4 linked regions of the Saccharomyces cerevisiae S288C genome follow. The gene in region 2 interacts genetically with the main gene of each other region. Each region holds a gene or a part of one and is shown on either strand. Other genes may lie near its edges. The genes, in order: AAT1, SDD3, CLU1 and HIT1.

Evidence for each region.
Region 1: mutations in SDD3 (region 2) and AAT1 together harm fitness more than expected from each alone (negative genetic interaction), as found in Saccharomyces cerevisiae (one large-scale study listed by BioGRID).
Region 3: mutations in SDD3 (region 2) and CLU1 together harm fitness more than expected from each alone (negative genetic interaction), as found in Saccharomyces cerevisiae (one large-scale study listed by BioGRID).
Region 4: mutations in SDD3 (region 2) and HIT1 together harm fitness more than expected from each alone (negative genetic interaction), as found in Saccharomyces cerevisiae (one large-scale study listed by BioGRID).

Annotation. Positions count from the first base shown.
Region 1 is NC_001143.9:235,619-239,402, forward strand, and holds AAT1 (aspartate transaminase AAT1), read left to right. Parts: upstream 1-1,917; coding exon 1,918-3,273; downstream 3,274-3,784. Other genes in the region: SLD2 (Sld2p), read left to right, coding at 1-169; YKL107W (putative short-chain dehydrogenase/reductase), read left to right, coding at 523-1,452; YKL106C-A (uncharacterized protein), read right to left, coding at 1,529-1,648; SEG2 (Seg2p), read right to left, coding at 3,567-3,784. UniProt on the Saccharomyces cerevisiae protein: Plays a key role in amino acid metabolism. Important for metabolite exchange between mitochondria and cytosol.
Region 2 is NC_001147.6:132,190-137,716, reverse strand, and holds SDD3 (Sdd3p), read left to right. Parts: upstream 1-1,878; coding exon 1,879-4,992; downstream 4,993-5,527. Other genes in the region: tryptophan--tRNA ligase WRS1, read left to right, coding at 1-1,190; YOL097W-A (uncharacterized protein), read right to left, coding at 1,312-1,497; serine/threonine protein kinase PKH2, read right to left, coding at 5,235-5,527.
Region 3 is NC_001145.3:289,567-295,528, forward strand, and holds CLU1 (translation initiation factor 3 subunit CLU1), read left to right. Parts: upstream 1-1,567; coding exon 1,568-5,401; downstream 5,402-5,962. Other genes in the region: hexose transporter HXT2, read left to right, coding at 1-138; SEC59 (dolichol kinase), read right to left, coding at 5,613-5,962. UniProt on the Saccharomyces cerevisiae protein: mRNA-binding protein involved in proper cytoplasmic distribution of mitochondria.
Region 4 is NC_001142.9:537,147-539,771, forward strand, and holds HIT1 (Hit1p), read left to right. Parts: upstream 1-1,625; coding exon 1,626-2,120; downstream 2,121-2,625. Other genes in the region: KCH1 (Kch1p), read left to right, coding at 1-403.

The sequences.
Region 1 (3,784 bases), on a different chromosome or scaffold from region 2:
TGAATTTGAACATGATCCGGAGGCAAGCAGCGGCGTTGTAAGCTCAGAGCAAAAGCCTACGGCTAAGCGAAAGGGTAGAAAGAAGTATAATCTAGTGAGCAATAACTTCAGAAGACTAAAACTGCCAAAGAAAAACCGATTCTCTAATGGACGATGGGGAAGAAGGTGAGCGTGATGGCGTAAATAATACAAACATTTGTAATTTATAGAAACCTATTAAGTATTCAGTTAGATTCCTTCAGCTGCATGACGTATAGTTTATATGGACATCATACGTATTTTTATCAATATAGAGACTAGCATGTTTTTACACTTTTTATTTTTGTTGTTCAATTAGGGGCCTCGTCCATATATGTATATATATTACATAATCTGCAATCATCAATTAGGGGAGGAATAATCGGCAGAGGTATAAATACAAAATTTAAAACAATTCAAGTGAATGAAAAGGTGAACCAACAAACAGAATATTACCACGTATCAAGGAAAAACTAATAATAGTATATTGGCGCATTTAGCAGGATGTTCTGGAAAAAGGATCCCACCGTCAGTTGGGAAAGAAAAAATATCAATGACATTGATTTTAGTCGTTTTAATGTGGCCATAATTGGTGGCACAGGTGGACTTGGACGTGCAATAAGTAGAGAGCTGGCCCAAAGAAATGCCAGGGTTACTGTTGTCGGGCAAACTTTTAGGGACGAGGACCTAAAAGATAAAATTAACTTTGTCAAGGCTGATTTAAGTTTAGTGTCAGAATGCAAGCGTATATCTCATAGTGATGAAATTCCCTACGAGGAGTTAACACATCTGATTTTCACTACGGGTATTTTTGCATCACGCCAGAGACAAGCTACAAGTGAGGGTTTGGAAAAAGACATGGCAGTGAGCTATTTGAGTAGATACATTATCTTCCATGATGTGGCGAAGCGATTAGGAATTAGTAGGACAAAAAAAGACGATTTGCCAAAAGTTTTCATAGCAGGGTTTCCAGGAAATGGTCAGGTGGGAGACCCAGATGACTTGAATTCTGATGAAAAGAAGTATAGTGCCTACGCTACACATATGAACACTGTGGCAGCCAATGAAAGTCTGGTCATAGACGCTAAAGACAGATACACGAATATAGATACTTTCGGTTTGAACCCTGGGCTGATCAAAACGAACATTCGTAATAATCTTCTTGGCAGTGACACCTACCTCAGCCGCATTACAGAATGGATAATCAGCTGGACCTGTCAAAGCGCAGAGACGTATGCGAAAACAATATGCACCCTGATTGCGAGCCCCGCTATCGAATCACGCAGTGGTACAATGTTCAGCAACAAAGGCGATGCTATTTTACCTTCGCCTGGTTTGACCAAAGATGTTGTTGAGAAGTTTATGGAAAATTCGGAACTTCTAGTTGAAAAGGCCTTGCGTAATCAAAGTCCTTTCACTTCCAGTAACGAATGACTTGCTGTAACTAATTGGTTTATATTTAAATATTTCACTTTTTAAAGGGCGTTTGCATGCGACCATCGTCGATGATTCATATTGTTCGGATGCGGAAGATGGCTTCCATGAGTTTTGCACGCCGTCTCATGTGATTGTTGGAGTCATAGCTCGCATATCTTCCTATTGTCAGATGTAATATCGACGGAAATGGCATCTTGGAGTATGGAAGCACTATTCTGCTTTGCTCCAATATTTAGGATGCCGCATTTTTCATATTTTTTTTTACATTTTTCGCTTACGTATATAAATTGCTAGCAAGTATTCGCTCTCTCTGTCTTGGTTATCTAATTGCTAACCGTCGCAATTGAAAAGAAAAAAAAAATACAGAATAGACGATAGCGGATTGAACGATAGCATACTATTGAGTGCGTTTTCCCTTCTCATTTGAAAATTACTATCCGTTTTTCACTGCCGAAAGACTTGATGTTGAGGACGAGGCTTACTAATTGCAGTCTATGGAGGCCCTACTACACGTCATCGCTTAGTAGAGTACCAAGAGCACCTCCAGATAAAGTCTTGGGGTTATCTGAACACTTCAAAAAGGTAAAAAATGTTAACAAAATTGACCTGACCGTAGGAATATATAAAGATGGTTGGGGCAAAGTGACGACGTTTCCCTCCGTTGCAAAAGCTCAAAAATTGATTGAATCTCATTTAGAGTTGAATAAGAATCTTTCATATTTACCAATAACAGGTTCCAAAGAATTTCAGGAAAACGTTATGAAATTTTTGTTCAAGGAATCATGTCCGCAGTTTGGGCCATTTTATTTAGCCCATGATAGAATCAGCTTTGTTCAGACTTTGAGTGGTACAGGCGCCCTAGCTGTAGCAGCTAAATTCTTGGCATTATTTATTTCAAGAGATATTTGGATACCTGACCCATCATGGGCAAATCATAAGAACATTTTTCAGAACAATGGTTTTGAAAATATTTACCGGTATTCCTATTATAAGGACGGTCAGATAGACATCGACGGATGGATTGAGCAATTGAAAACCTTTGCATATAACAACCAGCAAGAAAACAATAAGAACCCACCTTGCATAATCTTGCATGCGTGTTGTCACAACCCTACAGGTCTCGACCCAACTAAAGAGCAATGGGAAAAGATTATAGATACTATATATGAGCTAAAAATGGTACCCATTGTTGATATGGCTTATCAGGGTTTAGAGTCTGGTAACTTACTAAAGGACGCATATTTATTGAGGCTATGTCTCAATGTAAATAAATATCCAAATTGGAGTAACGGTATCTTTCTTTGTCAATCTTTTGCCAAGAACATGGGCCTTTATGGTGAACGAGTTGGTTCCTTAAGCGTTATCACGCCGGCAACTGCGAACAATGGAAAGTTCAACCCTCTACAACAGAAAAACTCATTGCAGCAAAATATTGACTCCCAATTAAAAAAGATTGTCAGAGGTATGTATTCTTCTCCACCAGGATACGGTTCTCGTGTGGTAAATGTAGTATTATCAGATTTCAAATTGAAACAGCAATGGTTCAAGGATGTTGATTTCATGGTTCAGAGATTGCATCACGTCAGACAGGAGATGTTTGACCGTCTAGGGTGGCCGGATCTTGTAAATTTCGCACAACAGCACGGTATGTTTTACTATACAAGGTTTAGTCCAAAGCAAGTCGAAATATTGAGAAACAATTACTTCGTCTATTTAACAGGTGATGGTAGATTGTCGCTTAGCGGAGTCAATGATTCGAACGTTGATTACTTATGTGAATCTCTTGAAGCAGTCTCGAAAATGGACAAACTCGCATAATTTTTTCACCTTACAGTTCACCTTTGTCTTTATTTTTTTATTACTTTTCCCTTCTCATTTTGCCACACAATAATTTATAGAATATAATAATTTTTTGTAATAATTAATAAACCTTTTTTTTATCTACTCTATATACACTTTTCAGATAACTAGATTGGATTAATTCGTGATCGAACTAGTTATTAAATTTTAAATGAAAAGAAAGCTAGCGCTAGCCAACTATTTTAATTACGGTGGCAGTGCATCATATCCTTACATTTCATTTTAGGTTTCCTATGTTTTCTTCTTTCAAATCATTTCCTGCCAAAAATTTTTTTCAGTTTCCTACCGAATTTACTGTGACCGTGACGGTCATGCGACTTATCTTTTATAGCTGCATCATCGTTATGAAGCTTGTGTATCTCTCCATTTTTATCAATGATAGTCACCGGAACGCTTAATGGTAAGGCTGTAGGCAGGTCAGGATTTGATGACTCCAAAGTGGCTGTTCCACCAGATATGTTCCTATTTG
Region 2 (5,527 bases):
ATGAACAAGGTAGAGCCCAAAATATTGATTACGACAAATTGATCAAACAATTCGGTACTAAGCCGGTCAACGAAGAAACCCTGAAGAGATTCAAGCAAGTGACGGGTCGTGAACCACATCATTTTTTGCGTAAGGGATTGTTTTTCAGTGAGCGTGACTTCACTAAAATATTAGACCTTTACGAACAAGGCAAACCATTTTTCCTATACACTGGTAGAGGTCCTTCGAGCGATTCTATGCACTTGGGTCATATGATCCCTTTTGTCTTCACCAAATGGTTACAGGAAGTGTTTGACGTACCATTAGTCATAGAGTTGACAGATGACGAAAAATTTTTATTCAAACACAAGTTGACCATCAATGACGTTAAGAATTTTGCCCGTGAAAATGCCAAGGATATCATTGCTGTTGGCTTTGATCCAAAGAACACCTTTATCTTTTCTGATTTGCAATACATGGGTGGTGCATTTTACGAAACTGTAGTAAGAGTTTCCAGACAAATTACAGGATCCACTGCAAAGGCTGTTTTCGGGTTTAATGACTCCGACTGTATTGGTAAGTTCCATTTTGCCTCCATTCAAATTGCTACCGCATTCCCAAGCTCATTTCCTAATGTGTTAGGCTTGCCTGATAAGACACCATGTTTGATTCCATGTGCAATTGACCAAGATCCATATTTCAGAGTTTGTAGGGATGTCGCGGATAAATTGAAGTACTCCAAACCTGCTTTGCTTCATTCCAGATTCTTTCCAGCTTTGCAAGGTTCCACGACCAAAATGTCAGCCTCTGATGATACCACTGCCATTTTCATGACCGATACACCAAAGCAAATTCAAAAGAAAATTAACAAGTACGCATTCAGCGGTGGTCAAGTGTCCGCCGACCTACATAGAGAATTAGGTGGTAATCCCGATGTCGATGTTGCATACCAATACTTGTCATTTTTCAAGGATGACGATGTTTTCTTGAAGGAATGCTATGACAAATATAAGTCCGGTGAATTACTATCAGGTGAAATGAAGAAACTGTGTATCGAGACTCTGCAAGAATTCGTTAAGGCGTTCCAGGAACGCAGAGCTCAGGTGGACGAAGAGACCTTGGACAAATTCATGGTCCCACATAAGTTGGTTTGGGGCGAAAAGGAAAGACTTGTCGCACCTAAGCCAAAAACTAAGCAAGAAAAGAAGTAAGTAGTCACGCTTATTCTGACGCTATTATATACAATGATATAGAATCCGAAATTGTAGTTTAACACTAAAAAAATAATGCAATAGAACAATAGTGTTGCGATGTCTCCTGACCTCACTATTTCTATAGATTGGTATGAAAAATTTTTTTTTCAAATATATGGGAAAAATTTTTCACGGCATATAAAAGACTACCATCTTTCTGCATCAGTGTGCCAGACCCATTCTCACACCAAGAAGCGAGGAAGCTAACAGGCCAGTACTTGCAGGTTAGGTTTTCGTGCTCAGATGAGCAGATCATGGACTGCATTGTGCTGTTGTTGCACAGTAAATTTTGTATACCATACTTTATGATGATATTCTTTACGAACTTTTAGACGTTAGACTTCTGAAGGAGATTAGACCCTCCTATGGAAGAGAAACTCGTTAAACTTATCTGAGTAGGTATGTGTATATGCGTCTCTTGTATTATACAAATGTTCTTATTTCTTGTCCTGCATTTTTCCGAGTATTGGTAAATTCATGTAAATTTTTCATCCCATAGATCGTAATTTTGAAGTAGTGGCAAAAGATTTTAACAGAGCGTAAGATATAGTGAGAGAAACTACTCGCTGAAAAGTTGAAAGTGACCCAAAAAACGGCACGAAGACCAATTATACGCACTTTCAACACAGTTCGTCGAATCTTCACAATGGGGTTCAAGAAGCTCGTATCATTCCAACCGGATTATGTCCCACAATACCATATAACTAAATATATCTCGGAACGAACTAAACTGCAACTGGTACATATAAACCACAAAACCTCCCCATTGGTTCACGGTTACTTTGCTGTTCCTACAGAATGTCTTAATGATTCAGGTGCTCCGCATACCTTGGAGCATTTGATCTTCATGGGTTCTAAATCTTACCCATACAAAGGTTTATTAGACACAGCTGGTAATCTGTCTTTGTCTAACACCAATGCTTGGACTGATACCGACCAAACTGTTTATACATTAAGCAGTGCTGGCTGGAAGGGATTCTCAAAGTTGCTACCTGCTTATCTAGATCACATCCTACATCCAACTTTAACAGACGAGGCTTGTTTAACTGAGGTTTATCACATCGACCCGGAAAATTTGGGTGATAAAGGTGTGGTATTTAGTGAAATGGAAGCCATTGAAACTCAGGGCTGGTACATTTCAGGGTTAGAAAAGCAGCGATTAATGTTTCCTGAAGGAAGTGGCTATCGGTCAGAAACTGGTGGGCTAACGAAAAATTTAAGAACCTTAACCAACGACGAAATCAGACAATTTCACAAATCTCTGTATTCTTCTGATAATCTTTGTGTCATTGTTTGTGGTAACGTACCAACAGATGAACTGTTAACCGTCATGGAAGAATGGGATAACAAATTGCCGGAGATTCCATCGAATATACCAAAGAAAAGACCATTTTTGGACAACAAGCTTTCGCACATACCGCAATCTAGAGATAAAGTTACGGAATCTACTGTAGAATTTCCTGAACTTGATGAAAGTCAGGGTGAATTACTCTTTTCTTGGATTGGTGTTCCCTACTCAGATTTTCGTAATGACCTAGCGGTTGATGTGCTATTAGATTACTTTACTGACTCTGCATTGGCAGTGTTTACAAGAGAACTGGTTGAAATTGACGATCCCATGGCAAATTCCACTGATTGTTGCACTGATTATTTCATGAGAACCATAATTGATCTTCGTATCCAAGGTGTCCCAACAGAAAAAATAGCAGCAACAAAGACCAAGGTACTGGAGATTTTGAAAACCCATACCATTGATTTATCAAGAGTTAGACAGGTAGTTGAAAATACTAAATGGGAATATTTGCTGAACTATGAAAAAAATGGCGAGAGTCGTTTTTCTAGTGCTGTGATTACCGACTATATTTATGGTAATGAAGATGGTTCTTCATTAGTGTCTTCTCTCAAGGATTTAAGTGATTTTGATGCTTTATTACAATGGTCCCAAAAGGACTGGCAATCTTTGCTGAACAGAATATTCGTAGACAACAAACCTATCATAGTTACCGCTAAACCAAGCGCTTTGATGTATGAACAACTAGAGAAAGAAAAATCGGATTTGATCAAACAAAGAGAAGCTGAATTTGATGATGAAAAGAAACTGGTTTTATTGAAAAGATTGAACAATGCAAAAAATATTAATGATAGGCCAATTCCGAAATCTCTACTACAGAAATTTGAGATTGATAATCCTTCAAAGAGTGTTGAATTTGTCAACACGAAAAGCATTGCAACTGTCGATTCGTATAAATACAATAATGTTAGTGATCCGCTGACCAAAAAAATTTTAGAAACGAGGCCAGACAATTTTCCTCTTTTCATTCACTTAAATCATTTCCCGTCTCAATTTATAGAGCTGCATTTTTTGGTCAACTCCGCATCTATTAAGGATACCTCGCTTTTACCATATTTTAATATGTTTGACGAGCTATTTTCCATGCCAATGAAAATCCTTGATGAGGAGAGTAATGTAGAAACTATGCTCTCGTTTGAGGAAGTTGTCGCCAAGTTAAAATCAGAAACTATTGACGCACAGATCAACCAAGGTTTGAAGGGTTCTTGTCCTGACCTTATTAATTTTAAAATTCAATGTAGAGCTGGGGGTTACTCTAACTCTGTTCAATGGATCAAGCACTGCCTATTTGACATGGTTTTTGATGAAAATCGTGTTCGTATTCTGCTGGAGAATTATTTGAATTCTATTGTAGAATGGAAAAGAAATGGTAATGTTATGTTAAGTTCTTTAACTAACAGAAATCTCTATTCGGCAAGATCGCTGAAAAAATCCACCGATCCATTATTTGTTGAAGCAAAATTACAAGAGATTTTTGCAGAAATTGAGAATGGCAACTTTGAGAAAGAAATTTTGCCAAGAATAGAAACAATGAGAAAGCAACTGAGAGCAAATTTCAACAAGTTTCATATTTTGGTTCTTGGTGACATCTCAAAGATCGATGACGTTTATGAACCATGGAATCCCTTAATTAAGTGCTTGAACATTGCACATCCAGTTGAGAAGTTAAAAATTCCACCAGTTCCAAGAGCCCTAGATACCATTTCATCGATTTGCAGAACACCTGGTGAAAAGGCCTTTATAATAACTACTCCCGCCTCAGAATCTGCTTATATGAATCTAATAACGTCTATCCCATTTAACTTGGACTACCATGATCCCGAATACGCTATTGTCTCATTGGCTTCCGAATATCTAGAATGTGTTGAAGGTCCATTTTGGAAGGGAATCCGTGGTGCCGGATTGGCCTATGGTGCCAGCATGTTAAAATTATGTGAGATAAATTCTTGGGGATTCAATATTTACCGCGGCGCTGATATTATTAAATGTTATGAAGTTGGAAAACAGATTGTTCAAGATTATGCATCAGGTGCCTTGGAATTTGATGAGCAGTTAATCCAAGGTGCCATCAGTAGTATTATTAACAGGCTGGCTACTATCGAATGCGGATACTTTGAAACAGCCCTGTCCAAATATGTTGATGAATTCTGTTTGCAAAGGGGGAACAACTTCAATGAATTGTATTTGGAAAGGTTGCAGAATGTTACCAAAACAGATCTGAAAAATGCCATGCAGAAATATTTTGTCAACATGTTTGATTCCAATAAAAGCGTTGCCTTTGTGAGCTGTCATCCAGCTAAATTGGAATCAGTTCAAGAATTCTTTGAAACTCAAGGTTTCACTGTCGAAATAGAAGAGCTAGAAGATGACGATGACGAAATTGATAGTGAAGAAGACGAAAATGCGTGAGTACATGACCTCCATTTCAGCTTCACTTTCAACACAGAAACAGTGCGTATTATCTGCATTCAATAAATAGCAAAAGGAGCATTGTCTCATTCTTTTCGAATTCTGGGATTCTGCCTTACGGCGCTCTTTCATTTGATTGATCGAGAATTATTATTATATTTATATGAGTACTTGAAATTCCTCATATATTTATTTTTAGAGTATTTAAGTAGCTTGATGAAAACATTAGATAAAATTACTAATTACGACCTCTTCGATTTTGCAGATGAGTTTTTGAAATTTGTTCCTGTGTTTAGACCTAATCCCACGGTAACTTGTCTTTTTGGCAATCCGTTAACTAATTTACTGGTTAACGGTACTGGAGCAGCGTGTTTTTTTGAATTTTGTTCCTTGGCATTGATAAAGGTTTCAAAAATTCTGCTTGATCTGTTGCTCTTAGCGCTATTAATCGATTCAGAAAACGAATTGTGCTTTGAAATTGATGGAGATTGGCTATGCGTCCTGGGTTTTGGCGAAGGAGACTTGGAAGTTGGAA
Region 3 (5,962 bases), on a different chromosome or scaffold from region 2:
TTCTTCTACGTGTTTTTCTTTGTCTGTGAAACCAAGGGCTTAACATTAGAGGAAGTTAATGAAATGTATGTTGAAGGTGTCAAACCATGGAAATCTGGTAGCTGGATCTCAAAAGAAAAAAGAGTTTCCGAGGAATAAGAGATTATACTTAAACTAGCACTGATTTTTTTAAGGCTAATGGCTACTAATACTTTAATAGATGATCTTCATACTTTTTTATTTAACGATTTTTAATGATGTTTTTATTTGTACCACTCATTTATCTAGATTTTTTTAATACTGATCAAATCTTACGGACTCGACGTTAAAAAGTTCCTACATACGTCTGGTACTTGAAACGCTGCTTCGAGGTATTGACACTATAAGAATACGATCCAAATACTTACACCGCATGTAAAAATATGCCGACAATATGAATACTTGTTGATGAATGATATTTGATTTTAATCCGGCAATTTACCTCCTTTATATAATCCAATAATTGTTGATAATTAGTGGTTAGGTTGCAGTACTAATAAGAATTAAGACAAATATTCTTCTACTATATAAAAGGTGCAAACAAAACACACGCCGATCGGCCATACTAAACAAGACCAACATAATAATGGTGGAACCATTTACTGTATTTTCAATGTAACGACTCATATCCTTATACATGAGACGTCAAGTTTCTCGTTGAAGTAATAATGAATCTTTAACTTTACTGTGCCACATATCACGTAATCATATATTGTTTTTCGCCTTCAAGCATCAATGGCGTATTGTGGCTGATTACTTCATATGATCACTAATTAACTAATTATGAAAAATAATAAATAAGTCACCAACCAAGCAAGGAAATTAGCTTCAAGTAAACAGTTGGTTCTTTCTGGCGAGTTAGAACAAAATTAAACAATAATCTATCGACTAGCATTCATATCACCAATATATCGTCATATACAGCGAAATGATTGCATTTACTGGATTGAATGGATACACTTTGAAGATGAACCTTTATCATAGTTGAAATGGGATAGCTGAGAAACTTGTGCATGATTTGATGATTGTTTGGGTTCAACCGTTGGGGATAAGGACTATAATATTAGGTACACAGAAATTCCAAATATATAAGTAGCAGTGCTTTATGAAACTATAATGTCAGAGTAGTTATGTAAAAATAGAACAATTGATATGATCGTTTCTTTAATAACTCGATAAGGAGTTCTCTACGAAAAATATCAACAGTGAAATATAATCCGATATAGTGTAACGGCTATCACATCACGCTTTCACCGTGGAGACCGGGGTTCGACTCCCCGTAGCGGAGTTTTCTTTTTGAAGAAATTTGAAAATTTTTTTCTTCACGTCGACCAAGGTTTTTTCCGGTCAAACATGGCCAATAAAACGGATACCATTTCTTGGAAATTATACGCTTCGAAGTATTCTCAAAAAAGGAAATTGTCTGCAGTGAAGATTGGATATAAGGTTCACTAAACACAGAGTAGTAATTGAGCTGTAATTTGTTTACAGAACGAATCAAATCAGCGTAGTGTTACAGTTTATCTGAGACTGCATATCTTTAATCTCTATGAGCGAGAAAAAAGAAGAAGTTAAAAACGCCACCGTTAAGGTGACTGTCAAACTTCCAAAAGAAGATAACCATTCGCATAATACGAAACATCTCAAAAAGACCCAAAGTTCAAAAAATAATGATATATCTTTTGAAATCGGCAAGGAATCCAAAATTCAAACTGTTCTAGATGTGTTGGCTATGATTCCAAGTTCCAAGTACCTGACAAACGTTGGGCTGAAAACAATTGAAGGTGACTCCCAGCTATCTGATGAAATGTCTATAAAGGAAATTGTTGGTGAGAAAAGCGAGTTAAAACTTCAATTGATACTGAAGCCATATAGCGCAAGAGAGGCTTTGAAACATGTGATTACTGTTCGCGATTTCATCGGATTTGCCCAAGAAACCTCAGATGGATTATCTGAATTTGCTATTTCTACTGGTTCAAGCTTTTCCTCGTTACCGTTGGGTCCTATCAAGGAACGCTCAAAACAAGAAGAAAAAGACGAGAAGAGCGATCCAGAAGAAAAGAAAAATACTTTCAAAGATGTGACTGACGAGGAAAAACTAAAATTTAACGAGATGGTTCACGAAGTGTTTTCTAGCTTTAAGAATTCTTCAATTAACAAACTTCTCACCTCTGAATCCAACATCATCACGCCGTGCGTCAGGTCTTTGAGTTTCGCACCTTACAATCCTGTACCTCCATTTTATAGAAGTAAAGGTCATCTATTTTACCTACAAATTGTCACTTTGGAAGGTGAGAGTTTCTATATCACTGCAATTCCATCTGGATTCTATGTCAATAAATCAAACTCAACTAAGTTCGATCCTTCTCCAAAAGAAAACACTGACGAGAACGCGCACTCATCCCTGATCTATTACAGTCTATTTGACTTGATTGCTTCTCGCTCTAAAAAATTCATTTCTCATGTCCAAGCATTCGAGAAAAAACTATCTGCTTTAGATTCTACAAGCTATGTAAGACCAAGCAATACTTTCTTGCATAAACCATGGTTTGTTTCTTCATTGCCACCAAATAACCCAGATTATCTGAGGTTACAAACTGCCGCCTTGGATACCACGCCAGAAAGAAACTTTAATGATGAATTTCAAGCCATTAAAGATTTGACTACGTCAACATTACAAGATCGTATTGAAATGGAAAGGTTGTTTTCTAAAGTTGTACATGAATTTTCTGTTACTGCAGCATCAGGCGCTATGTCAATTTTTTACAGTGATTTCGTTGCAATGAACCCAGAATCTCCAACTCGGGATCAAATTTTCTTAAAAGACAATATCTTTTATTCCTATGTTTCCGACGTTAGTGGCAATTATGAAGGGAAAGGTGGGGATGAAGCTGCAATCGCTGCTTCCAACCAAGACTTGAAGACAATCAATATTTTGAATCGCTTGCATATGCACGAAGTTCGTTATCTTTTAACAACTGTAGTCGAATTTGCAGGCAGAAGAATTTTGGCTCAAACTCCAGTACCTGGACTCTTAGCTACCATGGGTAACAAAATTGTAAAAGATGCTAATACCGGCGAAGAGGTTACCGAAGATTTTGTCAATGATATTAATGTAAAGTACGGCCTTGATGAAGGTTTGGGAAAGATTGTTTATGATGCTGACTTTGATTCTGTTTTAGAAAAAAAGTTTGTCAAGGCATTCCATTTGAAAAAGCACAAAGTCAACGGTACTGAATTAGCATTTTCATCGCAATCCAAGGGAATAGTTGGATTCGATAAGAGGCGCTATATTTTGGATTTAGCCAACACGTATCCCTTGGACATCAACTTTGCTAGACAAAACTTTGACAACATCGAAGAGACTGGAAACCGTTACCCACACAGGCAAACTTTGTTACGTCCGGAGTTAGTAGAAAAGTGGTGGAATAATAAAGTTGAGAAGGAAGGTGTTGAATTTGAAAAGGCCTATGAAGAAAATTTGTTTAGTTATAACCCTGATGCTTACCAGGTCGAAGGTATTGAGGACGCTAATGTTGACGAAATGTCGAACTACTTACAAAAAGAAGTTATTCCCAGCGTTATTCAAGATTATTTATCTGGAAATTTGAGCACTCCTTATAATGGTGAACATTTAGCCGATACTTTACATAAGAATGGTATCAACATGCGTTACTTGGGTAAAATTATCGAGCTTTCTCAAAAGGAATTGGACTCCCAAATTGTCCACTACGAACAAAATTTGAAAGCTGTTGAACAAGACAACAAAGAATATGAGGATTGGGAAAAATCTTATCTGCAAAAAATTGAGAACATGATTAAAGAGAGACAAGCCAAGATTAATAAGCTGGTACAAGAAGGCAAAGAGGTTCCAAAAGAACTAACTGAAGATTTGAAATTAAACGATGAAGAAATCAAAAAGCCCACCGATGGAAAACCTGTGGTCGTTGCCTATGATGAGCTAGTGCCATTAATTAAAATTTCCGAATTAGAAATTGTTTCGCGTTCTTTGAAACATGTTTTAAAAGATTTGAGTAAAGATGTTCCGGTCTTCTTGGTTCCATCACTGGTAGCATACGTTTTCAATATGTTAGTTGGTATCAACTACAATGCTGATCCGAAGCCAGAACCAGTCGACGAATTTTATCCAGTCAATAAGTGCTCATTTGCTAAATTAACACGCTCCGAATTGCTGGAAGCTGTCTCTAAACAAGCCTTCTTGCGTTTCCGTCATCAATTACCATCCAATTGGATCGAAGCTTACATGGAAAATCCTTTCACCCTCATTAGAAGTGTTTCTTACAAATTTGGTATTCAATTGCTCAATAAAGAATACTTCTTTACTAGAGAACAATTGGAAAGTTATAAGCAAAGTCTTGACAAGAAAATTAGGAACAAGTTTGTCGAACCACCAACTACCTTCAGTTTAAGCGATTTGACCATTATTCCACGTGTTAAGTTCTCAGAATATACTTCTTCAGTTAGTGAGGAATTTTGGGCTCAAGGTGCTTCTATGATCAACGAAGACAAACAAAGTGCTTTGACTTTACTCGCTCAATCAATTACAGTCTTAGAAGATGTTAACAATATTTTACATCCCGCCGTTGCTGAAAAGTACTTGTCATTATCTGCCATTTATAATAAGTTAGCATTATACCCTGAAGCTATCGCGTTCTGTCGTAAAGCATGTACTATTTATGAAAGAGTTAGCGGTATTGATTCTTTTGAAATGATGAGGGCTTTAACTAATTTAGCAATTCTAGAATTCTCTAATGAAAGTCCTTATAACGCTACTGTGGTTTATAATAGGCTCGCAGAAATCCTAAAAGTTTATGAGTTACCAAAAATCCATCACCCAGCCCCCACAAGCATTTTCAACCATTTGGAACAATTAGCCCTAGGTGTTCAAGATACCAAATTGGCTATTGAAGTCTTGGGACAACTAAGCTCCTATGTTGTGGAATTAGAAGGCAAAGATTCATTAGCATATGGCTATACCGAGTCACGTTTAGGTAATTTGTTTGCAGCATTGAAGGATTTCCACCGTGCATTAGAGCACATCACTGTAACCCAAGGGATTTTCACCAAGCAATTGGGTATGAATCACACGCACTCAGCCCAATCAAGACAGTGGGTTAATGGTTTAAGCTCATTAATAATGGATTTAAAACAAAAGAAGCAACTTGCACAAGATCAAATGTCGACAACGGGATCAAATTCAGCTGGCCATAAAAAAACCAATCACCGTCAAAAGAAGGATGACGTTAAACCTGAATTGGCTAACAAAAGTGTGGATGAGTTGTTAACATTTATAGAAGGCGATTCTTCCAACTCTAAGAGCAAAAACAAAACCAACAATAAAAAGAAGCATGGTAAGAAATAGAGAGCTAACTTAACAATCTCGTTTATTTATTATTTTTCTTTATATCTATAGCCCATACTTGTATATACTACGTGTAAGTACTAGATATAAAACGAAAAAAAAATACTTACAATTATTTTTTTTTCTTTACTGCTCTATTCTTTTCTTTATTCTATTCATAAATGCAAACAATTAGTTATGTAATTTTAAAAGTTGAAAATAATTGACTTTGTCAAAGAGTAATTAATTTTTCACAAATCATCATAAATGCAGGTATCAAAATATTGTCATTAAGCACACTATTACCTTCTAGCACTCCACTCAGTGTACAAAGGGTAAGCAATTGTAAAGTAGTTAGGTGGTTAAAAATTGCAGCTTTATCAAAACGTAACAATACCAAACAAACGATAAAACTCGTTACTATAAACGCAAGAGTTCCCTCTAAAGTTTTTTGTGTACCTTTCCAACGAATGCGGCCATACCTTTTACCAATAATAGATGCTAAGGAATCACCAATTCCCAATCCTATTAGACCCATTGGAGAGTTATTCATTAATAAAGGTGTTGATATTCCGAAGAGTA
Region 4 (2,625 bases), on a different chromosome or scaffold from region 2:
TGCGATTCTAGATTCACCATATATCAACAGCTATGAAAGTAATGATATAAAGAAAGCAAAAATACAAAGCAGAAGCGTAAATACTCCAAAATATGAGGATTTGTCTTCTTCTGACATTTTCAACAAAATACACTCTGCTGGACAATTAAAATCTACAACTTCTATGGAGTTTCACGGGCCATTAGATTCTATGCCAAATACAACAAACAACATCCGTAATTTTAATAGCAACAGTAGTAGACCTAGACCACCTCCTTTACAGACAAAAAGTTCGATTAATTCAAAAGCTGACTCGAATGATAATGGAAGGATTTATACACCAATGAAAGCGTACTTCAGGGAGCCTGATCTTCCGAGGAAGGGTTTGCTGGAAGATGAAGATCGTACATATAATTATACTTAATAGGCTGGCAAAAGCCCTTTGCATATTTCATGAATTAGATAGACGTGATTAGAAACAGCCGTTAGTATGTTTCTGATAAAAATAATACTTTTTTTGTAACACTATTTTCATATATTGGATTGATACCGGTTATAGCACAAACATAACAGCCATGAAAGTTTCTTTGAAAACCCCTTTTAACATTTGCTTGTAAGAGATAGGTTAATTTTTTATAGTTGCTGAGATTCCATTGTTGGTAAAGACTTAATATTAGGTATACAGAATATACTAGGAGTTCTCTCTGGGTATGTAGGAATCCACAAAAGGGTGTCACTAGTTCAACATAATAACATCTTTTTTTTATTCCTTCTTTGATATTTTGTCATATTATCCTATTATTTTATCAATCCTTGCATTTCAGCTTCCAATAGATTTGATATTTGTTTCTCAATATTATGTCATCTTCATACACAGTATGTGATAATATACTAGTAACATGAATACTACTAAATGAGTACTACCTTAGGGGTTCATTACAGCAGCTTAAGCGAAAGTAGAAAATGAGGCGGATATTTGTTGGAATAAAAATCAACTATCATCTACTAACTAGTATTTACGTTACTAGTATATTATCATATACGGTGTTAGAAGATGACGCAAATGATGAGAAATAGTCATCTAAATTAGTGGAAGCTGAAACGCAAGGATTGATAATGTAATAGGATCAATGAATATTAACATATAAAATGATGATAATAATATTTATAGAATTGTGTAGAATTGCAGATTCCCTTTTATGGATTCCTAAATCCTCGAGGAGAACTTCTAGTATATCTACATACCTAATATTATTGCCTTATTAAAAATGGAATCCCAACAATTACATCAAAATCCACATTCTCTACAATATTGATTTCCATCGTGTAAGTTTTCTGCACGAAGTTTATTCATTCAATTTGAAGTGCTTCGTAATAATATTACTATGCAACTTAGGTACCTCATATTTCTTAGAGTTCAACCAAGTTGGTTCCGTTGGCGTAATGGTAACGCGTCTCCCTCCTAAGGAGAAGACTGCGGGTTCGAGTCCCGTACGGAACGTTGATTATTTTTTTTTTTTCGTTTCTTTATAGAAAAAATTCAGACGATATTACCTTGCGATGAGATAATCTTACCGCAGAAAGAGTGCCACAGTGGTAATAACTAGTTGAAGGTTCATATTATATAAAAAACTCTAAGAATAAAAATGGTATCTAGTGCAGTTAAATGTGGCATATGTCGCGGAGTTGATGGTAAATATAAATGTCCTAAATGTGGCGTACGATATTGCTCCTTGAAATGCTATAAAGATGCTGCAAAGCATGTTCATAAGGAAAGCGAACAACCCAGGGCTGGTACAGAAGCTAATGTGGAAGTTGTTAATAACGATAAGATCATAAACAGTTCACTCGCAATGAATAAAACATTAAAGACGAAGGCATTCGATGATATATATCAAAATAGCGCAGAATTGCAAGAGCTGTTGAAATACAACACGGTGAAGTTCCATTTGGCAAAGGTTTATAGAATTTTGTCCAGTACTGTTAACGATGGAAGTTCTGGAAAAATGAACAGCGATCTACAAAAAGAACTAGCTGTAAATTATTTGAATACATTACGATATGGTGGTATACATTATAATGAAGCAATTGAGGAATTTTGCCAGATTTTATTAGATAAATTAAATGCGGTGAAGAAATAAGAATTATCGTTGTTAGCATGATTTTTAAGATTGAGCATTTTATTCATTTTTAACCATATAATAGTGAAGGTGAGGACTAATAACAAAGTACTTGTTGAAAGGGTCGGGTTGCTTTTAGGTTTTTTCTTCTCGTTAAGGATTTCCCACTTGTCTGGCAAGGCGTCAAGCAGACTTGGAAAATAATGATATTATGTCAGAATTTTTGTGTGAGGCGCTTCTATTGCAAGTTTGTGACACCTTATAATAAAAGTGAACCATGTATTTACATATGATTAGGGAAAGTTCCACCATCATCTTATGATCTTCATGGCCGTTTTGGTCTTCTTTTTAACTTGAAGTCCAACTTGGCGACTGTACATATATACATATATATAGCAATAAGTATAACAAGGCAACAAATCAGGTCCCATTATTTAATTTGAAGTCATCTACTGCCCCATAAGAACCTCTATATTATCAGTAGATTCTTTCTTTTAGGGAAATCGAACCTCGATATTGTAAGAGA